Linked DNA regions of Xenopus tropicalis. Each later gene encodes a partner of the first gene's protein in a complex. Links are inferred from orthologs where the notes say so. Each region holds a gene or a part of one and is shown in the gene's direction. Other genes may lie near its edges.

The links.
Region 2: ints9 (region 1) and ints2 share a complex: the UniProt entries of both Homo sapiens proteins name them as parts of the integrator complex. The link is inferred for Xenopus tropicalis from reciprocal best matches to the Homo sapiens genes INTS9 and INTS2.
Region 3: ints9 (region 1) and ints12 share a complex: the UniProt entries of both Homo sapiens proteins name them as parts of the integrator complex. The link is inferred for Xenopus tropicalis from reciprocal best matches to the Homo sapiens genes INTS9 and INTS12.
Region 4: the proteins of ints9 (region 1) and ints4 are in contact, whole or in part, in a cryo-EM structure (PDB 8RC4), measured with the Homo sapiens proteins. The link is inferred for Xenopus tropicalis from reciprocal best matches to the Homo sapiens genes INTS9 and INTS4. Residues at the interface, in NP_060720.2 of Homo sapiens: Lys2, Tyr4, Lys18, Ser21, Thr22, Leu43, Val44, Gln45, Glu87, Glu89, Leu90, Asp92, Asp97, Thr122, Glu145, Arg146, Val147, Pro148, Lys159, Glu174, Ser176, Thr177, Ser192, Gln195, Phe206, Gly207, Ile379, His380, Ser384, Asn385; in NP_291025.3 of Homo sapiens: Leu53, Gln54, Leu57, Gln58, Arg61, Lys62, Pro86, Ser87, Leu90, Lys91, Ser94, Gln125, Gln129, Asp132, His164, Gln207, Asp208, Pro209, Arg210, Arg212, Asp244, Tyr245, Glu246, Gln247, Trp296, Phe837, Gly840, Leu841, Val842, Val843.
Region 5: the proteins of ints9 (region 1) and ints11 are in contact, whole or in part, in a cryo-EM structure (PDB 8RC4), measured with the Homo sapiens proteins. The link is inferred for Xenopus tropicalis from reciprocal best matches to the Homo sapiens genes INTS9 and INTS11. Residues at the interface, in NP_060720.2 of Homo sapiens: Glu127, Gly198, Tyr199, Ser200, Gln201, Lys202, Tyr231, Glu338, Phe339, Ile342, Phe343, Glu345, Gln352, Lys354, Val355, Tyr356, Leu357, Pro358, Glu359, Pro360, Pro361, Arg511, Arg512, Tyr513, Glu514, Lys515, Ile516, Glu517, Ile518, Met519; in NP_060341.2 of Homo sapiens: His94, Gln97, Ala98, His137, Leu138, His139, Gln140, Thr141, Lys274, His277, Tyr278, Lys280, Leu281, Phe282, Ile283, Pro284, Trp285, Arg291, Phe294, Ser449, Pro450, Ser451, Ile452, Pro453, Val454, Gly455, Ile456, Ser457, Leu458, Leu461.
Region 6: ints9 (region 1) and ints6 share a complex: the UniProt entries of both Homo sapiens proteins name them as parts of the integrator complex. The link is inferred for Xenopus tropicalis from reciprocal best matches to the Homo sapiens genes INTS9 and INTS6.
Region 7: the proteins of ints9 (region 1) and brat1 are in contact, whole or in part, in a cryo-EM structure (PDB 8UIB), measured with the Homo sapiens proteins. The link is inferred for Xenopus tropicalis from reciprocal best matches to the Homo sapiens genes INTS9 and BRAT1. Residues at the interface, in NP_060720.2 of Homo sapiens: Gly276, Met277, Gly279, Glu280, Cys282, Ser283, Asn284, Ala286, Leu287, Arg290, Asn291, Tyr315, Asp317, Ser318, Ala319, Gly320, Ser483, His484; in NP_689956.2 of Homo sapiens: Ala406, Pro407, Cys416, Pro460, Gln506, Lys507, Arg508, Cys510, His511, Pro512, Arg517, Glu545, Leu549, Gln552, Asp556, Pro557.

Annotation. Positions count from the first base shown.
Region 1 is NC_030681.2:151,882,599-151,886,801, forward strand, and holds the start of ints9 (integrator complex subunit 9), read left to right. Parts: upstream 1-1,268; 5' UTR 1,269-1,285; coding exon 1,286-1,294; intron 1,295-4,203. UniProt on the Homo sapiens protein: Component of the integrator complex, a multiprotein complex that terminates RNA polymerase II (Pol II) transcription in the promoter-proximal region of genes.
Region 2 is NC_030678.2:91,803,620-91,807,283, forward strand, and holds part of ints2 (integrator complex subunit 2), read left to right. Parts: intron 1-2,864; coding exon 2,865-3,029; intron 3,030-3,664. UniProt on the Homo sapiens protein: Component of the integrator complex, a multiprotein complex that terminates RNA polymerase II (Pol II) transcription in the promoter-proximal region of genes.
Region 3 is NC_030677.2:72,494,096-72,498,292, forward strand, and holds the start of ints12 (integrator complex subunit 12), read left to right. Parts: upstream 1-1,381; 5' UTR 1,382-1,464; coding exon 1,465-1,467; exon of another isoform or gene 1,468-1,549; intron 1,550-1,658; exon of another isoform or gene 1,659-1,751; intron 1,752-1,805; exon of another isoform or gene 1,806-1,826; intron 1,827-2,950; exon of another isoform or gene 2,951-3,024; intron 3,025-3,099; exon of another isoform or gene 3,100-3,116; coding exon 3,117-3,281; intron 3,282-4,084; coding exon 4,085-4,197. UniProt on the Homo sapiens protein: Component of the integrator complex, a multiprotein complex that terminates RNA polymerase II (Pol II) transcription in the promoter-proximal region of genes.
Region 4 is NC_030678.2:168,920,525-168,924,188, reverse strand, and holds part of ints4 (integrator complex subunit 4), read left to right. Parts: intron 1-1,478; coding exon 1,479-1,676; intron 1,677-2,266; coding exon 2,267-2,384; intron 2,385-3,664. UniProt on the Homo sapiens protein: Component of the integrator complex, a multiprotein complex that terminates RNA polymerase II (Pol II) transcription in the promoter-proximal region of genes.
Region 5 is NC_030683.2:93,135,136-93,139,226, forward strand, and holds the start of ints11 (integrator complex subunit 11), read left to right. Parts: upstream 1-1,284; 5' UTR 1,285-1,438; exon of another isoform or gene 1,439-1,442; intron 1,443-4,091.
Region 6 is NC_030678.2:149,888,692-149,892,355, reverse strand, and holds part of ints6 (integrator complex subunit 6), read left to right. Parts: intron 1-293; coding exon 294-509; intron 510-592; coding exon 593-719; intron 720-1,059; coding exon 1,060-1,202; intron 1,203-1,575; coding exon 1,576-1,792; intron 1,793-2,725; coding exon 2,726-3,082; intron 3,083-3,162; coding exon 3,163-3,256; intron 3,257-3,664. UniProt on the Homo sapiens protein: Component of the integrator complex, a multiprotein complex that terminates RNA polymerase II (Pol II) transcription in the promoter-proximal region of genes.
Region 7 is NC_030685.2:31,742,688-31,746,351, forward strand, and holds part of brat1 (BRCA1-associated ATM activator 1), read left to right. Parts: coding exon 1-39; intron 40-1,537; coding exon 1,538-1,692; intron 1,693-1,975; coding exon 1,976-2,120; intron 2,121-3,364; coding exon 3,365-3,664. UniProt on the Homo sapiens protein: Component of a multiprotein complex required for the assembly of the RNA endonuclease module of the integrator complex.

The DNA of each region.
Region 1 (4,203 bases):
GCTGTAGGTGCCAGTCAGAGTGAGAGAGCAGTGAGTGAGTGAGAGTGCTGTAGGTGCCAGTCAGAGTGAGAGAGCAGCAAGCGAGAGTGCTGTAGGTGCCAGTCAGAGTGAGAGTGCTGTAGGTGCCAGTCAGGGTGAGAGAGCAGTGAGTGAGTGCTGTAGGTGCCAGTCAGAGTGAGAAAGAGAGGCAAGGGTGCCAGGCAGTGTGTGGCACAGTGAGAGAGTGCAGTAAGAGACAGTCAGGCAGTGTGTGGCACAGTGAGAGAGTGCAGTGAGAGACAGTCAGGCAGTGTGTGGCACAGTGAGAGTGCAGTAAGAGACAGTCAGGCAGTGTGTGGCACAGTGAGAGAGTGCAGTAAGAGACAGTCAGGCAGTGTGTGGCACAGTGAGAGAGTGCAGTAAGAGACAGCCAGGCAGTGTGTGGCACAGTGAGAGAGTGCAGTAAGAGACAGCCAGGCAGTGTGTGGCACAGTGAGAGAGTGCAGTGAGAGACAGCCAGGCAGTGTGTGGCACAGTGAGAGAGTGCAGTGAGAGACAGTCAGGCAGTGTGTGGCACAGTGAGAGAGTGCAGTAAGAGACAGTCAGGCAGTGTGTGGCACAGTGAGAGAGTGCAGTAAGAGACAGTCAGGCAGTGTGTGGCACAGTGAGAGAGTGTAGTAAGAGACAGTCAGGCAGTGTGTGGCACAGTGAGAGAGTGCAGTAAGAGAGTGAGACAGAGAGAGTAGAGTGCAGCGGGGCAGAGTGCAGGAGTTGCTGGAGAGCAGGGGGTGCCAGTACCTTACCTGAGTGCCGAGCAGCGCTCACTCTCTCCCACACAACATGAGTCCGGTTGCCGAGCCCGCAGCCAGCGGGCAGAAAGAGAATGTATGCCAGTCCTATGCCAGTCGGAGTGCCAGTAGCAGCCCTCGGTGCCCGACGCGCTCACTTTCCCCCACCCGCCTCCGGGACTCACATCGGAACCCGACCCGTCTTTGTCTGCCACCCCGCCGCCATGTTGGCACTCAGCAGCGCGCAGCTCCCAGCCGAATGTTTGCGCGGGAGTCTGGGAGTTGTAGTTTTCGGCGCAGCCAGACTCTCCCCGGGGAGCGAGCGGAAGGCGAAAGCAGGAAAACTACACTACCCGGCATGCCGAGCGCCAGTCTCTCTCTTACCGCCCTATCCCGCCTGGCTGAGCGTACGTCACACTGACGCAGCGAGTTATGGGCCGGAGAGACTACAAGTCCCAGAAACCATCGCGTCACCAGAAAAAGGGGCGCTCGGCGGTGAGGCCGGGGACAAGGCAAAGATGAAGCTGGTGAGATTCATGGTTTTGGGTTCTTATATTTTCTCTCATGCCTTTATAGATATGATATGCCCTGGCGTGTCTGTATCCGCAATGTGCTTCCCAAATGGCGCCTTTCCAACCTTTGCCTGAACTACAGCTCCCAGCATCCCCCAACAGTGTTGTAGTTCTGCGAGTAAATAGCAGGTCCTAAATGTGCCCATTCCTCTGTTTTATGTGTGTGGGCTCCAGGTCCTCTCTAGTCCCTTCCCTGACAAAGTCCCTACCCTCACTTAAATATGGCCATCAGATGTACATAGATGTCAGTTTACCCTCTGACAGGGTATTTAGTAAGAGTGGTGCAAAAGTGCAGTAACCCATAGCAGCCAATCTACTTCCATGAGTCTGACCTGCTCTAAATTGATCAAAGCTGATTGGTTGCTATGGGCTAATGCACATGTGTTTGTTGCTAAGGGGTCCACATCCTGTTATATAGTGAATAAAGTACCCCCTATTGTAACATATAGGGATATTATAAGCCCCCGAGGGGTTCCTTATAATATATAGTGAATAAAGTGCCCCCTATTGTAACATATAGGGATATTATAAGTCACAGAGGAGTTCCTTATAATATATAGTGAATAAAGTACCCCCTATTGTAACATATAGGGATATTATAAGCCCCCGAGGAGTTCCTTATAATATATAGTGAATAAAGTACCCCCTATTGTAACATATAGGGATATTATAAGCCCCCGAGGAGTTCCTTATAATATATAGTGAATAAAGTGCCCCCTATTGTAACATATAGGGATATTATAAGTCACAGAGGAGTTCCTTATAATATATAGTGAATAAAGTGCCCCCTATTGTAACATATAGGGATATTATAAGTTCCCGAGGAGTTCCTTATAATATATAGTGAATAAAGTGCCCCCTATTGTAACATATAGGGATATTATAAGCCCCCGAGGAGTTCCTTATAATATATAGTGAATAAAGTGCCCCCTATTGTAACATATAGGGATATTATAAGCCCCCGAGGAGTTCCTTATAATATATAGTGAATAAAGTGCCCCCTATTGTAACATATAGGGATATTATAAGTCCCCGAGGAGTTCCTTATAATATATAGTGAATAAAGTACCCCCTATTGTAACATATAGGGATATTATAAGCCCCCGAGGGGTTCCTTATAATATATAGTGAATAAAGTGCCCCCTATTGTAACATATAGGGATATTATAAGCCCCCGAGGAGTTCCTTATAATATATAGTGAATAAAGTGCCCCCTATTGTAACATATAGGGATATTATAAGCCCCCGAGGAGTTCCTTATAATATATAGTGAATAAAGTGCCCCCTATTGTAACATATAGGGATATTATAAGTCCCCGAGGAATTCCTTATAATATATAGTGAATAAAGTGCCCCCTATTGTAACATATAGGGATATTATAAGTCCCAGAGGAGTTCCTTATAATATATAGTGAATAAAGTGCCCCCTATTGTAACATATAGGGATATTATAAGTCCCAGAGGAGTTCCTTATAATATATAGTGAATAAAGTGCCCCCTATTGTAACATATAGGGATATTATAAGTCCCAGAGGAGTTCCTTATAATATATAGTGAATAAAGTGCCCCCTATTGTAACATATAGGGATATTATAAGTCCCAGAGGAGTTCCTTATAATATATAGTGAATAAAGTGCCCCCTATTGTAACATATAGGGATATTATAAGTCCCAGAGGAGTTCCTTATAATATATAGTGAATAAAGTGCCCCCTATTGTAACATATAGGGATATTATAAGCCCCCGAGGAGTTCCTTATAATATATAGTGAATAAAGTACCCCCTATTGTAAAATATAGGGATATTATGTCACAGAGGAGTTCCATGACCATATACTCCAAGTTGACTTCTAATATATTACAAAAGGGGGTACTTTATTTATTATAATATACAAGATTCAGTGAGTCATGTGACAGAAATGACATCACTAAGCTCTGATTATATCTGATGACATCACTAAGCACCGTTTATAAGGATATAATTTACAGTTTGGGCCCATAGGGAAATGACCAAACTATATATTATATTGATATATATGTATGATTAATTTGCCCCCTGGGCCTATACAGAGGAGATGGAAAATGGAACAACAAAGGGAACACTTTTAAATCATCTTTAATATGAGGTAGACATTGATATTCTGAGGCAATTCGTAATTGTTTTTCATTGTTTATTTTTTTGTGATTTTTCAGTTATTTAGTTTGAAATTTTAGTAGCTTTCTGGTTGCTAGGGTTTTGTTTACCTTAGCAACCAGGCAGTGGGTAAATGAAAGACTGGAATATGAATAGGAGAGGGGCTGAATAGTAAGATAAGTAATACAAAGTAACTGTTAATATATTTGTAAGTGTACACAGCAATAGTTTGTGGCTGCTGGGGTCAGTGACCCACATTTGAAAGCTGGAAAAATTTAGAAGTGGAAGGCAAATAGTTTTAAAACTATAATGAAGACCAATTGCAACGATACTAGGAATAGGACACAGTAAATTTAAAGGGGAACCATCCCATTTGCATAGAATAGAAACAAGATCATTTTAGCATCCCAGCAGCAGCCCAGAGCCCACTGAGCATGTGCAGTGCCACAGACACACAACAGATCGCCTAACAAGATCCAAAATGGGAAATTGCTGGGGGCAACTGTGAAGGCCTGGATCGTTACTGGTATAGGGCTGCTGCCCCTCTGGGCTGGTGCTGTGAGTACAGTATATAAACAGCTTTTCTGTGTTCCTATATTCTCATATCCTTTAAAGGGGTAGTTATTTAGCTTTTTGTCCAGCAGCTCTCCATTTGTTGTTTTAGCTTCTATCTGGTTGCTAGGGTCTTAATTACCCTAGCATCCAGGCAGTGGTTTAAACCAGAGATGGAAA
Region 2 (3,664 bases), on another chromosome or scaffold:
TATACCATACCATATAACATATAGGTGCTCTTACTTTTTCAATATAAGTGATGCTTGGGTGCACATAGTAAAAACAGATATGTAAAAAAAATCAGCAAGGTACCGGGTGAAAAAAGTGTCCTTCATTTAATGCATCAACATTATAGATACACCATGTGGGCAATAAATGTAAAAAGATAAAAGGAAATGCACAAATTATATAGCTGGAAATTATATATATTAGAGGTCTGTAATCAAGAAGCATTTTTTAGAGAGTGAGACTGATCATGGAGCAATAACACAAGATTGATTTATACAGGAACCGCACACCATAAAGGAGAAAAAAAATACACAGCAGGGACAATAAGTATTTAACACGTCAATGTTTTTCTCAGTAAATATATTTCTAATGGGGCCGTTGACATGAAATTTACACCAGATGTCAGTAACAACCCAAGTAATCCACACATACAAGGAAATAAAAACAAATAAGTCCATAAATTAAGTTATGTATACTAAAGTGGAATGACAAGGAATAAGTATTGAACACACTTACACTTAATATGTCGTAGAAAAGCCTTTGTTGGTAAGAACAGCTTCAAGGCATTGCTCAGGTGTGATTTTGGCCCATTCTTCCACACAAACTTCAAATCAAAAGGTCCCAGGAGCCTCTTGTATGAACTCTGATCTTCAGGTTTTTCCGTAAATTTTCAGTTGGATTCAAGTGGGGTTACTGACTGGGCCATTCTAGCAGCTTTATTTTTGTTGTCTGAAATCATTTGAGAATTTTCTTTGCTGTGTGTTTGGGATCATTGTCCACCCTTGTTTCATCTTCAGCATCCTGGTAGATGGCAGCAGATTTTTATCAAGAATGTCCCGGTACATTTCTCCATTTCTCCTTCCTTCAGTTATATGAAGTCTGCCAGAACCATATGCTTGAAGCCCCACCCCATGATGTTCCCACCTCCAACCTTCACTGTTGGTATGGTGTTTTTGGGGTGATGTACAGTGCCATTTCTCATCCAAACATGGTGTGTGCAATGACATCCAAATAGTTCAATTTTGGTCTCATCTGACCAGACTATAGTCTCCCACAGTTTTATTGGCTTGTCTAAATGTTGTGCAGCAACATGCTTTTTCTTCAGCAGTGAGCGGTGAGCATGCATAGAGGCCATGTTGGTTGGGTGCATTACTTATTGTTTTCTTTGAAACAACTGTACCTGCTAATTTAAGATTATTCCTGAAGCGCTCTGCGAGTGATCTTTGGCTCTTGCTCAACTCTTGTGATTATTTTTTGACTCCTCTGTCAGAAATCTTGCAAGGAGCACCTGGTCATGGCCTGTTTAGGGTGAAATACCGACAGATTTCAGCAGTTTTCTTGGTTTTCCCATGCCTTTTTGCCCCTCCATTTCTTTGTGTTCAATACTTATTCCCTGTGTCATTCCACACATAACTTAATGTAAAGACTTCTTGTTGGTTGTTACCAACATCTGGTGTAAATTGCATGTCAATAGCCCCATTAGAAATATATTCAACTTGACATGTTCAATACTTATTTTCCCGGCTGTATAATTACTGGGGGTACCAAAGTAGTAGGCACCTGTCAGATAGTATTAAGACCACTTCCTCAGCCTGGACACTGAAGAGAGAGGATCTCTCTGCAGCTCTAATGGCATCTTTAGGAGGTTAAATGCTTTCAGAATGGCAAAAACTTGTGTATTTGCCTCAAAAAGGCTACAATAGTTTATATAAATAAGCTGCGGTGTAGCTATGGGGGCAGCCATTCAAGCTGGAAAAAAGGAGAAAAGGTGCACAGCAGATAACAGATAAGCTCTGTAGAATATAATGGGGCTTTATCTGTTATCTGCTAAGTAACCTGTCTTTTTTCCTTTGAATGGCTGCCCCCATGGCTGCACAGCAGCTTTGTTTATATGAACTATAGTAGTCTTTTTAAGGCAAACACACCAGCTGTACCAGTGCAGTGCAATAGTGCATCATACTGTAATTACTGTTATACACTTTCATTTGTTGGTGTTACTGGTCCTTTAAGGGCTCTGGCACACAGGGAGATTAGTCGCCCGCGACAAATCTCCCTGTTCGCGGGCGACTAATCTCCCCGAGTTGCCATCCCACCGGCGACAATGTAAGTCGCCGGTGGGATGGCACACGCGGCAGCCAGAGCCCTAAAGGACATGTAAACCCACCCCCCTCCACACACAAAAATTTAATCAGTGAACAGCCTCTTTGAAATCTTTTAATACCTGCCACACTGGTTGTCTAGAGGTTAACAGTAAGGCTGTAGTGTTCCCTTATTCACTTGGATTTCGGATTTCCTTCTCCTCCTGTAACCCACTCAGCCCCCTCCCTCAGGAATTTGCTTTCGCTTCTGGGCATGCTCAGTTTTTCTCAGCTAAGATTATTAAACATACCCTCTAGTCTAGCAGCCAATGTAGAGATTGCATTGCTGGTTCCAATAGAAACTCGGCTCCTAACCTCCTCTCCTGAGCTTAGCTTAACCATTACAGTGCTCGATAAAAAAAAAAACTTTTATCAAAGACAGTTCTGCCTGTGTGAGCCTTGATCCTTGATGAAATTTATGCTGAATAACGGTCTTAGTGTGTATGCTGTTTGCAGATTTAAATGTAACGTTTAAATTATGTGCAGAGAAAGAATGGCTGCTGGGTGAATGCTGCTATTTGCTTTAGGAAAATGTGATGTTGCTGGTATATGAAGGGGATATATGCAGTACAAATGATGCCATTTGGATGGGGGAGATCTGCCTAACTGATATACATTGTAAGAAAATGTAGGCTTGCTACATGTCCTTTAAGGAAATACCAATTTAGTTGCCAGTAATTGGATATAGTTTTTTTTGTATGTTCTAGGTTTGCACTCTGCATTACTGCGTCTGCTTTCTACTAACTATCCTCATCTGTGTATTGTGGATGACTGGATCTGTGAGGAGGAGATCACTGGAACAGATGCTCTTTTAAGGAGAATGCTATTAACCAGTTCTGCCAAAAGTCATTCGCCAAAGCAGCTTCAGGAAGGTAAGGCAATTCTGTAGACAAAATATTTAAAATTTGTGTGTATGTTTTATATTGTGTTGACTGTCATTTTAGCTGTTCAGAGGTTGATATATTAAACTGGGAAATAGAAAGTGAGCTGTTAAAAGTAACAGAATAAGCACTGGGCGAGAATCTGCCCCTCCTCTTTAAAATTCTGAAAGCTGTGCCTGCATCCTGAAGTATTGCTGCCATCCGAGTACAGGCTCATGCAGCATATTTTAGCTGAAAACTGCTCAACTATGCAGTTTCAGGCTGAAATAAGCTGCATTTGCCCGCATCTGGGCCGTAATGCTATCGGGTGCAGGCACAACTTTCAGATTTTTAAAGCATAGGGGCAGATTCTTGGCCAGTACTTATTCGCAGGCTGAGAATCTGCCTGAATGCACTAGCTGAAGACACAACAAAAAGTCATTGTGGAAGGGCAAGTTCTGCTAGTACACAGATATTGCATGAGAACTTTCCAAATGACTAACAGTACTCAGGGCTATTAAGAGTTATATCTTTTATACATAGTAACATAGTAAGGTTGAAAAAAGACACATGATTATCAAGTTCAACCTCTTATGTCAATATATATAACCTGCCTAACTGTTGGATGATATTTATATTCCCTAGCC
Region 3 (4,197 bases), on another chromosome or scaffold:
AGCTAACAGTCTAAAGATGGCCATACACGGGAAGGTTTCACTTTGGTCAAAAAAACAATACTATCTGTAAAAATGGACCCTTTATTGGAGCTCCCTATAGATCCTCTTAAGTCCCTGTTGTATTTCAAATGAGGGGTGGGCACATCCTAACAATGCCTGCCAGAAGCACAGTAGGAGGGGGATAGCCAATCACAGCCCTGCTGTCACACAAGCAAAGACAGGCTTCAGTTCCCTATCAGGTCAGCCTAGCTGCCGATTGGTTTCTATCCTACAGTGCAGCCGGTTCCCCTGCATAGCCTAGGAAAGAAGGCAGTAGAAAGTGGGACAGATGGGCTAGATTAGTGGGGTATTTGGAGAAAATTTAAAAAAATCAGCCTGAAACACAACTTTTTAAAGGAAATTCCTTCTACAATTCATTTGCACAATATTTTTTTCACACAATATTTCACGTTTACACTGCTGCTCTGGCCCCTTCAGAAGAAAGTTAGCCGCTTATCTACCTGTGTATGTGACCTCTCCAACTTCCTCCCCAATAGATAACCTGGCTAAAAATCCAAGTCCAGATATCTATTGGGCAGGTTTAAAAATCTCATTGTAGCAAGTACTGCATAGGCTCAGTTATGCTTTCCTGTCAACTGCATGTACTAGGGGCCATTTCAGTCAACACAAAATGGCCAGTGTCAGACTGGGCCGCCGGGGCACTGGGAAAAACCTGGTGGGCCCCAGTGGCCCGAACCCGATCCCCGCACACCACTCCTGTAGGTCCATAGGTCTCCATCCCTTGACGCACTGAAGGTAAGTGTCACTTATGCACGATCGGGGGAGGGGGTTGGACAGGTGGTGGGGGCCCCTGCGGGGATGGTGTGAAGGCAGGTGCATGGGCTCCTGAAGCAGTAGCCCCGGTGGGCCCTGCTCCCTGCTCCCCCCAGTCCGACCATATCAGGAAAATGTGTAAGGCCACTTTAAGTCATTAAGCTTACTAAAACATTTTTTCATACACCAGTTATCCTGTTTGTATGTTTTTGGGGTGCAGGAGGAAACAAACATAAAAACACCTTTGCAGACAGTACTTGAAAGCCCTGTCTAAGTTACTTCATATAAAATGCTTACTGTAAGTGAGTACACCTGTCACTCTCAGCGGTTCTGTTAGTCCTATATTAATTGCCACAGATGTAACACAGAGGCAAAACACCATTGTGGGCTAAACTAGAACTAACACAAAGCCCAACTTATTAAGTACTACACCTCCCCGAATTCCTTTATGGCAGTACACTGTAAAGGCTGTTGGGAATTTAACGCAAGAAGAACCGAACCTGAGGCCGGGCAAAGTAAGAGCAAGTTGCGCAGTAGAACCCAGATGGAGAATGTTTCAAGCTCCCATGTGCAGTGACCTAGGGAAGGACCCATAGCAACTGTGCAACCCCCCACACCGGGTACCTTTATCCTGCTGTTCTCTCGTGCCTGATGGTGACTGATTTTTTTTTTATTATTATTATTATTAAGGTCGGGGTAAAAAAAAGTTAAAAACCCAAAGTGCAACGGAGAGTCGCTCCCGAACACAGCCAGAAGGAAAATCTTTTACTGTTCCGTTACGAACAGGAACGCTTGAGCGCTGGCTGCGGGGAGCAGTATTGCTGAGGGACCTCCCACACCCGGAAGTAGCGGCGCAGTGCGAATAGAATCCTAAACCAAAGCACGGGATTTTGAATATTTCCATTGTAAGCAGTTCTATTAGGGCTTTGTCTGCTGAAGTAAGTAGTGATGGCAGTATCGCTGTACAGTATAAGGCAGGAGAATCTTCTAACCTGTGGCTTCTATAGTTCCCAGACTGAAGCAGCCTGAGCATCATTGGTGTTAAGAATATACTCTACTGGCCTGGCCCCACACTCTAACATGGGGGAATGAATTAAAAGATGCAGTTTGCCGCTGGCGTAGTAACCCTTAGCATCCCAAAGGGGGGGCCAACGTTGCTGGTGATATGTTTAAAAATAATATGGGCTAGTAAACCTGGGCTAAACTTTGCGTGTCACAATGTTGATAGACAAGTAAAGAGGAAGTAGACTGGGTAAAGCAAATTGCATGACAGTTTTTGCCCCACTCAACTCTTTTCATGTTACATAATGTTTATATATAACGTGTTATGTTGTACATACTACTGTGAAACCCAGATACTGTAGATATTGTAACTGTAGAGTAACTGGGCCATTGACTGGTAAGCAGTTTCATGAAAAATTTCTTTTTTTCCTGTCCTTATTTCATCCTGATTCCAAGCATTTGAGGGGAAGTTTGCCTTTTCAATAAATATAATGTGATGTTTTTCTGCTGGTCTTCATTTTTTGTGTTAGCTTTACATTTTCAAAAGACCATAAGGCACAAGTATATAGTGAACCAAGCATTCATATTGTATTTGTGATACCCTCTTTTTTCCAGCATTAGTTCATTTAATAGGGTTTGTGCCTGTTGTTGCAATTAATTGTGTTATTGTCGCTGTTACAAAATAGACAACACTGAAAATTGTCTCTGTGTGTGTTTTAGCAGAGATAGTTTTCGGTATTGTCTATGGCAGGGTATTTTCTGGTGTTTTGTAGCTTGCTACAAGTAGCTCCACGTCAGAGCCCTAAATAAGGTAGAGTAGGTAACTTCCATAACTATTTTATTTTAGCTTGCATTTCACTTTGTCACCCCTGGTTACATCTTTGGAAATAAAGTGAATCACCAGTGGAAAGGCATACCTGTTGCTTAATTTTCGAACTTGCGCAAAGTTTCCTCCTGCAGGCAACTTCGCATGACTTCATCACGTATGCCTTCCCGCCAGTGATTCACTTTATTGGCGGTGGAAAGGCATTTCGGTGGAGATTAGTCGCCCCTGGAGCCGAGGTTGCGGGCGACTAATCTCCCATGAGCAGTCACCATTACCTGAATTAAGATGATCGTTTCTACTATTATTTAGAGCCATGTTCAAGGATTAAATGTCTCTCGTATCTCTGATGAGTTGGATAATATAAACACTATTTACTTTTCAAGGTATGTTTATTGCTGTTCTAACATTTTACCATAAAAGAACAAATAATTGATACATTTATTTTTTTTTGTAAATAGCCTTATTTTCATTGCAGGTTATAACCATGGCAGTCACTATAAATACTGAGTTGGATCCTGTCTTTTTGAAGGCACTTGGATACCTCCACTCAAAGAGCAAGGACTCTGCTGAAAAACTGAAGGCATTGCTAGATGAGTCACTGTGCAAAGGCAACGACTCTGTCTACCGTCCTCAACCGAAGGTTTAATAATTAATAATTATTTAATATTTTAAAAACAAGAATACATTTGCTTGTAATAGCGTATTGTATATAGTTCTCTAAATGTTGTGACAGTTTATGTAGGTAAAATTTGCTTCAAAGGAAAAGAAATGCCAACACCCCACCCCTCAATGTGTTTATTGGGGAATGGAGTAATTTGCAAATGGTTCTATCCCACTCAGCAAAATTGTACTTTGTAGTTTGCATAGCAAATAAGATATGTGTTGAATTGTGCTCCCTGACTAAAAAATAAGCAACATTAAAACATTTGTGCAAGGAAGTATGTATTGCTGTAGAAGAATTACATAACCCTCCCATTTTTAAGGTTCTCGGTAATAACCCGGAAGAACTGTTGTTGAGGTTAAAGTATAGACTCAAACACCTTGCATCTAAATTTGGGTAAACGTACAAACATAGGTGCAGCTTTGCACCATTGCAGTAATCTATACCAAAATTCCAAAGTTTGCCACCTGTGTTTTTGATATAGTTCCAGGAGGCTTGTCATAATCCAACAATAATATTGTTGGCAATAACCAGTCAGCATATGGAGTATGAAAGCTTGACATATGAAAACATATAGCATATCTCTTTCTTGCTTGCCCTCTTTTTGAATTAAGTTATTTTTAAAGTAATGAAAATTAATCTTTAGTTTATAATTTCTGCAGGATGATTAAGTCGTAAAGAATATTGTTCCACACTTAATGTGTATCTGAAAAATATACCTAAGAAAAGTATGTATGTGAATCTTTTGCTGCTTTTCTTAAAGTAATGTGTTTCTGTTTAAGGAAATGGAGCAGCCCAAAGCAATGTTATCTAAAGTTAAGCCTGAAACAAAGGCCTCTAGCAGCACTCCATCAAGCAGTATGCTAAGCAAACCACTGACTTCAGAGAAGTTAAA
Region 4 (3,664 bases), on another chromosome or scaffold:
GTACAGTAACCGTTACAGGTATGGGACCTGATATCCAGAATGCTTGGGACCCGGGGTATTCCAGAAAAGGGATCTTTCTGTAATTTGGATCTCCATAACTTACGTCTGCTAAAAATCATTTAAACATGAAATAAACCCAATAGGATTGTTCTGCCCCCAATAAGGGGTAATTATATCTTAGTTGGGATCAAGTACAGGTACTGTTTTATTATTACAGAGAAAAGGGAATCATTTAACCATTAAATAAACCCAATAGGGCTGTTCTGCCCCAATAAGGGGTAATTATATCTTAGTTGGGATCAAGTACAGGTACTGTTTTATTATTACAGAGAAAAGGGAATCATTTAACCATTAAATAAACCCAATAGGGCTGTTCTGCCCCAATAAGGGGTAATTATATCTTAGTTGGGATCAAGTACAGGTACTGTTTTATTATTACAGAGAAAAGGGAATCATTTAACCATTAAATAAACCCAATAGGGCTGTTCTGCCCCCAATAAGGGGTAATTATATCTTAGTTGGGATCAAGTACAGGTACTGTTTTATTATTACAGAGAAAAGGGAATCATTTAACCATTAAATAAACCCAATAGGGCTGTTCTGTCCCAATAAGGGGTAATTATATCTTAGTTGGGATCAAGTACAGGTACTGTTTTATTATTACAGAGAAAAGGGAATCATTTAACTATGAAAGAAATAAACCCAATAGGGCTGTTCTGCCCCCAATAAGGGGTAATTATATCTTTGTTGGGATCAAGTACAGGTACTGTTTTATTATTACAGAGAAAAGGGAATCATTTAACCATTAAATAAACCCAATAGGGCTGTTCTGCCCCCAATAAGGGGTAATTATATCTTTGTTGGGATCAAGTACAGGTACTGTTTTATTATTACAGAGAAAAGGGAATCATTTAACCATTAAATAAACCCAATAGGGCTGCTCTGCCCCCAATAAGGGGTAATTCTATCTTAGTTGGGATCAAGTACAGGTACTGTTTTATTATTACAGAGAAAAGGGAATCATTTAACCATTAAATAAACCCAATAGGGCTGTTCTGCCCCCAATAAGGGGTAATTATATCTTAGTTGGGATCAAGTACAGGTACTGTTTTATTATTACAGAGAAAAGGGAATCATTTAACCATTAAATAAACCCAATAGGACTGTTCTGCCCCAATAAGGGGTAATTATATCTTAGTTGGGATCAAGTACAGGTACTGTTTTATTATTACAGAGAAAAGGGAATCATTTAACCATTAAATAAACCCAATAGGGCTGTTCTGCCCCAATAAGGGGTAATTATATCTTAGTTGGGATCAAGTACAGGTACTGTTTTATTATTACAGAAAAAAAGGAAACCTTTTTCAAAAATTAGAATTATTTGCTTATAATGGAGTCTATGGGAGACGGCCTTTCCGTAATTCGGAACTTTCTGGATAAGGGATCCCATACATGTACCATTCAATTTTGATTTGCAGCAGCAGCCGCTAGAGGAGCCCTCGGCCAAGAAGCTGCGTTTGACAAAACCCAGCAAATCTGCAGCTCTTCACATCGACCTGTGCAAGGCGACTTCTCCAGCGGACGCCCTGCAGTACCTGTTGCAGTTTGCCCGAAAGCCTGTCGAAGCAGAGAGTGTGGAGGGAGTTGTGCGAATCCTCCTGGAACATTATTATAAGGTAGGGGAATATGGGTGCTGTGTCTGTATTGCTCCGACTTCATGCCTTCATACTGGGAGACAAATCACTAACCATAAAGGGAACTTCACCCAAACACAAGCTTTTTGAAAAGAAAACATAATTTCAAGCAACTTTGCAATATACATCAAATAAAAATATACAGCCTTTTCCTGATTTTTAATGTCATAATATGCCTCACCCCCTGTTCCCCTGCTGATCTGGCTGACTACTTTGTGACTTAAATAAAATGTAACAGTAGTCACCTGTCCTCGGCCTGCCTTCAGCTGGCATCCTCCCAATCCCACAATTCCCTGCTGCACACGTGATGTCAATAAGGAAAGGAACATCCCAGTGCAGTGCATTGTGGGTTATGTAGTTCCTGCATGCTGTCTGTAAGCTGTGGAGAAGTTGTAACAATTTGTAACATCAATGTTTTAGTCCCTCCTCCCCTGCCAGGATTTCAAATGATGCAGAAAGAGAAGAGCTGTTTTGAACTGTTTGAGGCCTTAATAGGATGTACCCACAGTGATGAATTAATACCTCTGCATAAAACCGTTTCTCTTCATTAAACTCTTCATTTCCTTTTTAAGGAGAATGATACCTCTGTCAGGCTGAAGATCGCTTCCCTGTTGGGCTTGTTATCCAAGACGGCTGGATTTTGCCCGGACTCCATAGTGGACGATGTGATAAATACTCTTCAGAATGAAAGTAAGGCATTTTGTCTCCCTTCCTAACCCATATCTTTTCCTGCTGTTGAGGGATTTCATTATCTGTACAGTTATAGGCCTACGGGTGTCTCTTCTGCTACAGGCAGGATGTATTTAGGCAAAACAGTCACTCACTTCTAGGTTACTGTGCTAGTTTTAATGGACCTTGCTTTTATATTAGGAAGCAGAGGAGGTTTGTGTTAAACGAGATTTGGTGTACTATGCTAATTATATCTAACGGTGGCCATACATGGGCAGATTTCAGCTGCTGATTCTGGTTCTTCAGATCGATTCAGCAGCTTATCTGCCTGTGTAGGGGCACCCCCAACAGTCTTACCTAACCAATATCTGGCCTAAAATTGGCCAGATCTCGATTGGCAGGTTTAATTATTTTTGTTGGATCATGGACCGTGTCGGTTCATTGATACGGTCCTTAGTCCGATGTCCTATATCCCCACCATTTTCATATAGGACCAAACAATCGAATTAGCTCAATATCGCCCACCATAGGATTGTAGTAGATAAGATAGTGGTGTCCATGCAACCATCCAGCCTTGGTTGAGTGATATGTTATGGTAATAGGCTAAAGGTGGCCATACAATTCACCAAACGTATCCCAAACTTTACAAAAAATTAAAAGAAAGTTCAAAAAGAAGAATCACATTTTATTTGAAAATCCATATTAAAAGCATACAAACCCCAAAACACGCTGCCTTACGCATTTGGTACCCTAACGGTACTTAGTCACAGGCAGTCATAGGCCTATGATTAAGTACCATTAGGGTACGAAACGCGTAAGGTGGCCCTTTAATCTGGTGAATGTGTCCCAATCACTCTGGCCCTGTTTGACTGGCCATTGGGGATCTTTTTTGATAAAGTGTAAAGGTGGCCATACACAGGCAGATTTAAGCTGTCATTTTGAGTCCTTTAGACCCATTCAGGCAGCTTATCTGCCCGTGTATGGGGGCCCCGGACAACCCTACACAACTGATATCCGGCCGAAAATTGAGCAGGTGTCGATCAGGCAGGTTTGATTTTTTTTTTTTCAAGTTGGATCGATGACCGCGTTGGCTCATTGATGCGGTCCTCACTTCAACCGTTCCTATATCCATTCAGGGCCAAATTAGCCTGATATCGCCCACCTTAGGTAGGAATATTTGGGAAAGGGGATCTGCTTGTTTGTCAGCAAATCTTTTTCATTATAGTGATGATGTGATGTACTATTAACCAGTTCATTGTGCCAAGCTGAGATGCTGATCCACTTTTGTAGACCTACTTTTT
Region 5 (4,091 bases), on another chromosome or scaffold:
CTCATCTGGACTGAAAACAGTCTGACATTACCAGACAATACTAAGGAAACAAATTTGTTGGGACCCCATGCAACAAAATCACTAACTTTTTTTACCCTGGGCCAGGAGCCCTCTTTTTTAAAACACATTTGCCCAAGATAATTTTCTTTAGAGAGTCAAGCATTGATTGCTACTGCACATGGCACATGAGCCCAAAGGCTGCAAGCCACACTAAGCAGGCTGTACCTTACAGAGCATACTTGGGCCAGAAGCTTTCATAAATGATAACCAGATATGACCACTTCTCATCTGCACAGTTCCATAGGAAGCAGTGGGCCACAATTTGGTATAATCATGGAATTATTGTAAGAATAATGTTACATTAGCCAGGGCACCACAATTTGTCAACAGTATGTAGTAATAGCAAAAATATGTCCGCTGTTCCTTGGCAAACATTAAGTCTATTTACTTAAATGGATGGTTTACCTGAATGTCATTTGAAGGGTTATTCATCCATCTGAAAATCCCTCATGATCACTTCTCATGGTTCCAATTAAGTTGGGAGACATGAGAATGTGAAAGTGTGCTGAAGCCCTTCCAAGCAATCTGTGTATGTGTCATCCCAGTAACTGGACCCACTGGTCACACTTTCTTTCCAGCCAGCTGAATAGTATTGTGTGTGCCATTACCTTTAGAAACCTGATCATCTGAGGAGGGTTTTCCTTACGGGTTCTGAAATACTTGCCTTTTCTCTGCACCTCTCTGAACCAACACTAATCTGCGTTCTAGATACTACAGCCCCAGTGATCGGGGTGGCCAGAAAGTAGTTTTATCCTATTTTGCCCTCTCCCAAGGCCGGGGCTAGAGTAGTGCAAGTATTTTGGAAAAGGAAAGGGGGCACGATTGCAGAAAATATTTATGGCGGGTTTATGGTACAAATCCAAAGACTTATCAATATTCTTGTTACCTTAACAGTGGAGCGGGCTTCCCTAAATCAGTATGGCAGCCCCATGATTTCTCTTTCCCTTGGTGTCATGGGCTAGTCCGGTTAGAATACACGGCACTTAATGTGGGGCCCTGTATCCTTACAGTTTCGTACTTACCTTCTCTCTTTCGTTCACCTGTCAGTCCGGACTCACCGCAAGCCACCTCCTTCCAAATAGCCGACTGGCAAGCCATTCTGCACCACGCCTAGCGCAGGTTGCTCACCAATGACAAGGCTCCTGTAAAACATGCGCCAATAGTTCTTAGTAAATGTTGAAGCTGTGAGATTAAAGATCCGGCTTCTTCCTGCGCTAAGCCACGCCCCCTATGGAACGCTAACTCTGTTTCGCTGACATGGCTCAGTGATTTAGCGGATTGGTTGGAACTAGCACGTGACCTCGTGACGCAATAAGCGTGCAGCAGCATGGCGCATCCCTGTGGGAGCGGATGATGTTTATGCTGATGTTCAGGATAGGCAGGTATATTTTCGTATTACTAAGATATGTTAGTAAGTGCAGATAAGGAGCTACTTGGTACCGCTTAGTTAGTTTATTTATGTGCCAGCAGAAGCGGGTTGCCGACATTTATATGTGGCAGTTCCCGTGAGGATTCTTACCCTGCCCTACTGCTTGCAGTGTTAATGTTAGAACTGATATGTGTCAGCAGTGTGCTAACGAAGGGATTGTAATCTTTTCTAAATTGCTCTACTTAGATTTTCTTCCAGGACACGTTTTCCTATTCAAGTGTTTCCTCTCATTTCTTTTGGTAGTGTGCAATTAGCTTGTGCCTTGTGCAGAGGTGGGGGGGCACAGAATAACTACTAAATTATCTCTTCCACACAAAATTCTTTGTCTTCACCACAATTTGTAGTATGCACTGGGCCCAAAATGTGTGTGCATTCCTCCAGCTGCACAGTGTAAGTGTGACATTGCTCCCATTGCTGTTACAGGGGACCTGTCACCTTAACAAATAATTCCAAATTTAGTTCTACCATGTTAGTTGAGCAAAATAAACTTCACTTACTCTATATAAATAATCTAAATCTTGTTTCCTTCAGTCTTGGAATTACACAATCCCAGCAAGCAGGCAGGCACCATTTTGTGGACACTGTTATTTAGACAAGCTTTGTATCATGCCAAAATCTTGTTTATGTGATAAAATTGAGGACCAGATGCTCAAACCCATACACTGAAGTGCAGTGACATCTAGGAAGTGCTGAAGGAAAGTTAAAGTTATTGTCTGCCCCGCCTCTAGGCCTAAGGCATAGAGGCGGGGCAAGCAATATATGATTGACAGCTGGGATTTTTGAATGTCTTTATAATGGCCATGGATGTGTTAAAGGAACAGTAACACCAAAAAATGAAAGAGCTTTAAAGTAATAAAAATATAATGCACTGTTGCCCTGCACTGGTAAAACTGGTGTGTTTGCTACAGTAACACTACTATAATTTATATAATAAGCTGCTGTGTAGCCACGGGGGCAGCCATTCAAGCTGGAAAAAAGGAGACAAGGCACAAGTTACATAGCAGATAACAGATAAGTTCTGTAGAATACAATAGTGTTTTATCTGTTATCTGCTATGTAACCTGTGCCTTTTCTCCTTTGAATGGCTGCCTCCATGGCTACACAGCAGCTTATTTATATACATTTTAGTAGACTTTCTGAAGTAAACACACAACTTTTACCAGTGCAGGGCAGCAGCACATTATATTTTAGTTACTTTTATACACTTTCATTTTTTGGTGTTACTGTTCCTTTAATAAAAAAAGGAATTTGGATTTCATGTTTAATTTGAACAGGACTTTTATTATACAGCTTTTTATGTCTAGGTCCGTGTTTTTCAACCTTTTTTGGGCAAAGGCACACTTGTTTCATGAAAAAAATCACGAGGCACACCACCATTAGAAAATGTTAAAAAATTTAACTCTGTGCCCAGCAGCAGTGCCCCCCTAGTACATTGGTGCCCAGCAGCAGTGCCCCCTAGTACATTGGTGCCAAGAGCAGTGCCCCCCTAGTACATTGGTGCCCAGCAGCAGTGCCCCCCTAGTACATTGGTGCCAAGAGCAGTGCCCCCCTAGTACATTGGTGCCCTGCCTACGGCACACCAGGCAACATCTCGCGGCACACTAGTTGAAAAACGCTGGTCTAGGTGACCAGTCGGTCCTTGCTCATTGAAAATCTATTACTTGTTTTCTTGTGGCCTTATAGTGTGATTAGGTGTCTAAAATAAATTACAGTTCCATGCCCTGCTGCACTTCATGTTATTTCTTTATAAATAACATAATGAAGTTTTAGGGTAAGAGGGCTAAATGATCAGTAGGGGGGTGGGCATGCCTCTGGGTTTCTAGAATAGAAGAGTCCAGATATCTAGTAGAATTAAGTCTAAAACAACTGGACTTTTCTGAGTTTTTCTTGAAAACGTTTCACCACTCATCCGAGTGACTTCTTCAGTTGTTTTAGACTTAATTCTACTAGATACTGTATATCATGACCTGGATGAATCTTCATAGACATGAGTCCAGATCTTGACCCAGATGATTGCCTGCCTTTTTGACTTAGGAAGTTTCTTATTTCTGTTCTTTATTAATGATAGATGTGCTGCCTCAGTTGCTTGATCAATATGGGTCTTGCCAAGACGATTGTCAGCCTGCATCCTGATCACTATTTGATGTGGACATATATTTTTCCTGTTGTTTATCCATCTTGTCATAGTTATATGTGCTGTTTTTTATCAGTGCAAGTGCTTGTTCACTGGCTAAAACTTAGATGTAAGGGTTTACACTGCCACCATGGATAAAGCATATTCTTTTTTTCTTTGTAAGCATTATAAACCACTCATAGACATTTTTAAGCTGCTGTTTATTTTTCTTCATCTGCTGAGCAAACCATGTGTTGTTTAATTTGCCTGTGTAGCTTTCCCCAGTCCCGTGGATAGTAAATAGAGGACTAGACAGGGAGGTTGGTAGACCTGAGAATTTTTTTAGGTTTTTGTTTAAAAAAAAAAAAAAAAAAAAAAATACAATCTTCAAGTGGGATAGTTCACCTTTACTCCAGCTTTTAGCTTCTTTTAAATGTGTTGACTGTAATTTAGATATAAACAGTCCTTAAAGGAATACCGTCATGGGAA
Region 6 (3,664 bases), on another chromosome or scaffold:
ATTAAAAACATTTTTTGCAGGTTGGCAATAAGTTCAGTTCAGTTTGGAACTGTTATTGTCATCTCAACCGCATAAGATACTTACATATTTTAACAAAGAATACAGTGTACAAAAATAGCAATAATGTGCAAAGACGGCAATACAATTTCAATTTCCTATGTGTCCTTACATCAACACATAATAATATATACCATTTCTTCTCCCCTGGCTCTGTTTTTCCTTTGTTACATCCCTGAATTAATTTGCCACTTCCGCAGAGTGGTTTCTCAATGTTTCATGTTTTCTTTGTGTAGGCAAAAATTGAATCTGACAGAGTGATAGGCTTGATAGGAAAGAAATTCCCGCAGGAAACGGGCATTAAAGTGCGGAGTGGTTCAAATGCCTTGTCACTGGCCCTGAGAAAAGATTTCAAGCAGCTGCTTCAGGAAATAACCGGGGAAGTGCCACAGCGGCCTATGGATCTCAATATGAAGGAGTTTGCTGGCTTCCAGATAGCCCTTTTGAATAAAGTATGTTATTCCACTGATCGCTTGTGCCCCTTGTGCTTACGTTTGATGTTCCCAGAAGCACTCACATTCTCTATTCTCCACAGGACATAAAGCCACAGACTTTCAGAAATGCCTATGACATCCCGCGAACAAATCTTCTGGATCATCTAACAAGAATGAGGGCAAATCTTCTTAAGTCAACTCGCCAGTTTCTTAAAGGGCAAGATGAAGGTGCAGTATTCTAATGGCCATTCATATCTGCCTATTTTGGTTAAATTCTAATGCAGACATTTTTTAGTATATGGTTGCAATAAGGAAATGATGGAGGAAAGCCATTTTCAGATTTTAAGAAATTGAAGATGTGATTGGAAGCAATAAATTGCAGGAATACAATGCAATGTTGATGCATAAGTTTGAGTTCCTTTTTATCATAAATCTCTGTCGACTTATTTGCATTTGTATCATGAAGAGGCATTTATTGTAGATAAGGCTTAAGCTGCTGCAGATGCATCACTTCTATCACCAATGTAAATTATATGAAATAATGCAAAATTTAATATGGTCCCCACAGATCAGGCACACAGCATTCCTATCGTCCAGATGGGAAATTACCAAGAATACCTAAAGCACATTCCATCACCCTTAAGAGAGATTGATTCTGACCAACCCCGGAGACTTCACACTTTTGGAAATCCATTTAAATTAGACAAAAAGGTAATTGAAGGCTTTGCATGCAAAGAAAACATGTAACAGAGATTTATTTTTTCTAAGCTATTATTTTAGATAAGAATGTCCAAGCAACTTTAGGTGTCCCTGTAAAGTCTTTCCTTTTCTTTCTTTCTCTTTCTCTTTCTATTGCTCTTTTCTTTGTTTCTTTCTCTTTCATTCTTTCTTTCACTTTCTCTCTTGCTATTTTTTTTTTCATTCTTCCATGACATATAAAAGTAACACTTGCTGTTGCAATCACGAGATAGCTATGTTAATATCACAAGTAAGTGTTGCAGGAAAGAAGAGAACCACATGCATAAAGGCCAACTGTAAATTTCCCTTGAATGTTGGCATATGATCAACTGTTATTTCGTTTCAGGGGATGATGATTGATGAAGCTGATGAGTTTGTGTCAGGGAACCAGAATAAACAGAAACGCACAGGAGAACCAAACATGCAAGGAGTCCCAAAGAGGAGGCGGTGTATGTCGCCATTGTTGCGCTCCAGACCACAGTCTCCATCAGTGATAAACAACCACATAGGAGGGAAAGATCAGGTGCCACCTGATCTGCCAAAACCTGTAGCTGTACATAAAAGTAAGTATGATGATTACTTTGTTAAATGTATATGCCATTTGGATTATTGGAAAGCATAAGTAACTTGATAATATGTGTGTTTTTTTATGTTGCAAAATGGTCCAAAAAAGGGCTTGCATATCGGCTCTTCATGCATGGCGCACTGCACATGCATGAGCACAGCAATGCTACTTCAAACTTAGCATAGAATCAGGCAGAAAGCAGACCTGTAGGGGGCACTTTGTTACTGATTGTGGTTGCTTGATTGACACAACCCAGATAAAGCACTTGATCTTTTTAAAAGCTATGTACTGATTAGCTGCTATAGGTTTACTAGAGCAGGCCAAACTTTGGCCATTTGGTTATATATTTCAGTTTAAGGGCTCTGGTACACGGGGAGATTAGTCGCCCGCGGCAAAACTCCCTGCTCGCGGGCGACTAATCTCCCCGAGTTGCCTTCCCCCTGCCATCCCACCGGCGAACATGTAAGTCGCCGGCGGGATGGCAGACGCGGCGGCGCGATTCTGCGCAAATCGCCGAAAAAGACTCGTGAGGCTTTTTCGGCGATTTCCCGAAATCGCCCTGCCGTGTCTGCCATCCCGCCGGCGACTTACATGTTCGCCGGTGGGATGGCAGGGGGAAGGCAACTCGGGGAGATTAGTCGCCCGCGAGCAGGGAGTTTTGCCGCGGGCGACTAATCTCCCCGTGTACCAGAGCCCTAAAAGTTAATCTTTTGTTAACATACTGGGTTTTCTTATGCTTTTTTCTCTTTAAATAACATTGATTTTGGGTAGTTTCTTCCTTCAGTTGGTTTAAATTTTTAATTGTGTAAATCCATGTTTATATCCTGTCCTGCCAACAGGTAATTTGTTTTACACTGACCATAGCAGTTCATATATTTGTTTGCGGTCCGTGTCAAAAATGTATGTTGATTAAATCCTTTGTTAATTATAGATTCTGATCCGAGCAACAATGTTGCAATGAATGAAGCTACAGAAAATCATGTTGCGGACCATCTTCGTGATGACTTAGTGACTACTAAATCAGAGCCATTTGAAACACTGTCCGATGCTGCCGTAGAAGCAACTGAAGCTTATGCAGCAGCGAGGGACTGTAACTTTACGCCAAACGACACTAGCGATGTGTTTCTTGAAAAAACAAAAGACTCTGGTGATACTCCAAGCTGCTTACAAAACAACACTGCTGCATTTGCACACAGAAAAAGGAGGTTGCAACAATGCAGGAGCTATGAAGAGGCCAACATAGAGCTCAAAGCACAAATACTAAGAGAAATTCGCAAGCCAGGCAGAAGTAAGTATTATACTGTCTGTCCTGTCATGGAAACAAAATCATATCTGCTAAATACTATAACTATATATTTCTGTTTTTAGAATATGGAATCATTTTCACTTTGCTCAAAGATGTTCAAGGTGACCTACAGACGCGCCTTCTTTTTCTGCAGAATGTCATCAAAGAGGCAGCCAGGTAAGAAGTGCCACGCTACACGTTTTGTACCTTTGCTGCTTCTTTTAAAGTGCAGAGGACCATTGCAGCTGGATGGGAAGAGTCACAAGAAATAAACACTGCTATTTTTCAGTAGAAAAATACTTATTGGTCTGAGCTACTTATTGTGCCATCCCATGGTGTGGGGAAGCCACCCTCTGAACATATCTGAAATTTTTCTGGACACATATTTTGATTGTCACTACTTTGCAGCCTTTTTCATGTAATTCCATTTTTTATTTTGCCTTTTTTTTTATTGGTGATTGCTTTGCCCATTTTGAGCTCCTTGTTTGTACAGGAGCTTCCCAAAAATCCCGGAAAGGGCTGCATAGTAAGACTAATTGATTCTTCAAACCCCTGGACACAAGTGCAACAGCACTAAGGGGAGCA
Region 7 (3,664 bases), on another chromosome or scaffold:
AGAAACTGTTGGACTGGTTTACGCAAATGCTTAACACAGGTAACTGAATATTAAATTAGATGTAAACTTTGAATTTATTTAAAATTTGGTAATATAGGTCACCCACTTCAACCACAGGCAATAAATCATTCAGAATTTTTAAGGGTAAGACATTAGGGTGCTCACAGATTATAGATAAGGTTGGGAAGTAAATTCAGGTTAAATCTCCTTTTTTACTTTTAGTTAGACTATTTCTTAAAATAGATGCATAAGTTTCATCTTGCTGTATGGAAAGCTTTAGGAATCAAGTTAAAATACAATATATTTATTATTATTTAATACATAGGCACGAAGAAAACTGTGGAGGTACTCAATACCACCAGTAGATATGTTACTATCTGTGCTGATATTTCTGTATCTGTGTTAACAGAAATAAGAACAACATGGTCATTGCGGCTCCGCCAATGCTGCCCCCCCTCGCCCCCCAACACTTACCTTTACAGCACAGGAGAGTGTCCAGGGCATGCCGCATCGCAAGTGCAATCGCACTCTCTACACTAGCAAAGTTGAATTTCCGTTTTAAAAAACAGAAATTTGTCTCTTAAAGTTACCAGGAGCTGCTTCTTGCTGCCCCTGGTAACTTTGGGGGCGCTGCCACCTCATGGTAGCAGCGCCCCTGGGCTAATGGATCCTTTTAACAAACGATTGGCTCTCTGACAATGGCTCTCTGTTCCTTTGTTTACTTTCACATTTAACCCAACCCCTCAGGCATGCACAGTGAACGTTTAACGCCTTTCCTGTCAAGCACATATGTGATACGTGCTTGCAGAAAAAGCTCTAACTAGCAAGCACATATCACATATGCGCTACGCAGTTCAGGGTCCTTTCTCTGCACATTTGCCGCCAGCGCAGAAAGTCCAGTGTGCCACCAACCCCCTAGGCAACGAGCCAAGGTGGCTGGCAAGTCGGTCCTGCAACGAAATTGTCGCAGGGCCCAACTTCTAGCAGCAGACATGATCTCACTCGTGTCTGCTGTTAGACCTTATCCCCTCCAGCCTCCCTGAGCCTGCCCACATACATTCTCCCTGTGATCCTGGGACCCTCATTGCCGGAAAGGCCTTTTTACACATTTACACAAACATTCATGCATTTACATACATACACAATGGTGAAAAGTCAACTATTGGCACAATGTGGTTGGAACGATCATAAATTTTACAATCGTTTTGCACCCTTTCATTTTATTTGATTGTCCTGAAATGTCACACAACAAAATCTGCCTGTGTTTGGCCACCTTTAAAGTTGGACTGATCAATAGCAATTAGGATTCATAAAATAAGACACTATTTGTGCAGCCCTCTTGGTTGATTGACCCTGTAAAGGCCACCTATATGGTTTGTAAAAAATAGGATTGGCGTACAAACACTAGTCCAGCACATTTGCTTTGTGCAAAAAATTACAAGATCTCAAGGTCTTACCGCTATGAGTGTTCATGTTGCATTTCTATGAGCAGTTTATCTATAAATTCAAGATGATTTTTTTCTGCTTATCTCCCTAGTTTCAGCGGAGCAACTGCTGGAAGAGAATCAATGCATCTTGATGCTTTTTCAGCATGTCTTGAATGCCGGTGATCCTGATCCAAATCTTCTTAGTTTTTCCATGCGCCTTGTGGGAATGCTTGCAGGCCATGAAACAGGCTTTAAGTATCTGATGGTGAGCAAATCACATTAAACATGAAAGAAAGAATGCACAGTCATTTGTTTAAAAATGAATTTAAAAATGTTACTAATAGATATGGGGAAAATCCTGTGGTATTGGACTGGGCTACAACCAAATTGTAGGTCTGTTAATTTAAATTAAGTGTATAATCCAGTATGCCTTAGGATAAAATCTCAATCTCTGTGGGTGTTTGGTCCCTGTCTGTTCCCCAGGCCCATTAATATGCCCCCCCCCATTTTATCTGCCAGGTTACTGATTGTCTTGCCATCTGTTCTAGATGAAGAATATTGTGCAACGTATGTTTGGTAAATATATCTATACAAATGAGCTATGGAGAGATGCATCAGTAAGAAGGGCCTGGATCCAAGGACTGCTCAGCATGGTTCAGCATAAGCAGGCTGTTTTCTTTTTATCAGAATCGGGTGAGTGTAGATGACTTGTTTCACTTTAATTTTTTGAATGTGAAAGTACAGAGCATGACCACCTTTCTCACTGCCTTGCTAATTGTTTTTCCATGAATGTTATTATTCCCTCAGTCACTTCTCAGCCTTAAAGGAACAGTAACACCAAAAAGTGTTTTTTTATGCATGCTTTAACTATGTACTAGTAAAAAATTGTTTGCTTCAAAAACAATACTATAGTTTGTATAAATAAGCTACTGTGTAGCCATAGGGGCAACCATTCAAGATGAATAGGGCACATGGTTACCATCAGATAACAGATAATCACTGTGGAATAAAATTGTTTTTATATAAAATAGGGGTTAAATATTATCCATGGATCTCTACAGGACAACCTTTCTCATATAAAATAGACGAAATAGGTCAAAATAGTTTATTTCTAGGTGCTAGACAAACCAGTACAAACTTTAAATTTAAATACTTTTGCTTTTTAATGTTACTGGTTCTTTAAACCCCTCACTTTTCTTCCTGTCTACCCATGTCCCACTTTTTCTCTGTGTCCAAAACTTCTATCTCAATTTCTTAAGGTGGCCATAAACAGTAAGATCCACATGTTTGGCAAGGTCGCTAAACGAGCAGATCTTCACCTGATATACCCACCCAAGGTGGGCGATATCTGACTAATTAAATTGTTGAATAAAGATGGAATGTATTTGTATAAAAGCAAACCTGCCCCATCAATATCTGGCCAATTTTAGGCCAGATATTGATCAAGTAGGCCCACTGGGGGTGCCCATACATGGGCAGATAAGCTGCAGAATCGGCAGCTGAAATCTGCCCATGTATGGCCACCTTTACTTTGCACATTTGCTTTGATACTTTCCACTCCACCCCCAGCCCCATGTGGACTGCTAGCCAACAGGAGGCTCTCCTTGGAATAAAACTACTTCTTTATGCTTCTAAACTTGCCTTCAAGCCAGAAATCGAAAAAAAAAAATGGGTACCTACTTTGAGGCCACTGGGAGCAATCTCAAAGGGGGAGGTGAGCAACACATTGCTGATGAGCCACTGGTTGGGGATCACTGTCCTTATCTGTACATTCCATCGCATGATGGAATCTCCATGTATTTTGTGTTTTCTATTCCTCAAAATTCTTTTTCCTCAACAAGCACTCTCCACCTCATTATCTCCTTGGTTTTAACATCTTTGCCATTGGCCTTAGCCCAATTTCAGTGAGTAATGGTTTATGCATGTTCCTTTCTCAGCAATTATAGAGGTGATGTTAAATCTACAAATGGACTCCAGCCTTTTTGTTGCTTCTGCATCCAACCAACTTGTAGCTCACACGTTTCTAGTTTGTCTGAAGATGGAACAAGAAAACTCCGAAAGCAAAGAGATTCCTAATTGGCCAGAAAGTGCTCAAACAATATTAACATTCTTGGAGAAGTCACTGATGTCTGGGATTTCTTTTTCTGTAACTCAGGCAATCAAAGTTCTTACTTTATTTTATAAGGGTTGCACAGATACCTTGGCTGCTATTTTGTGGTCACGTATAGTAGTAGCAG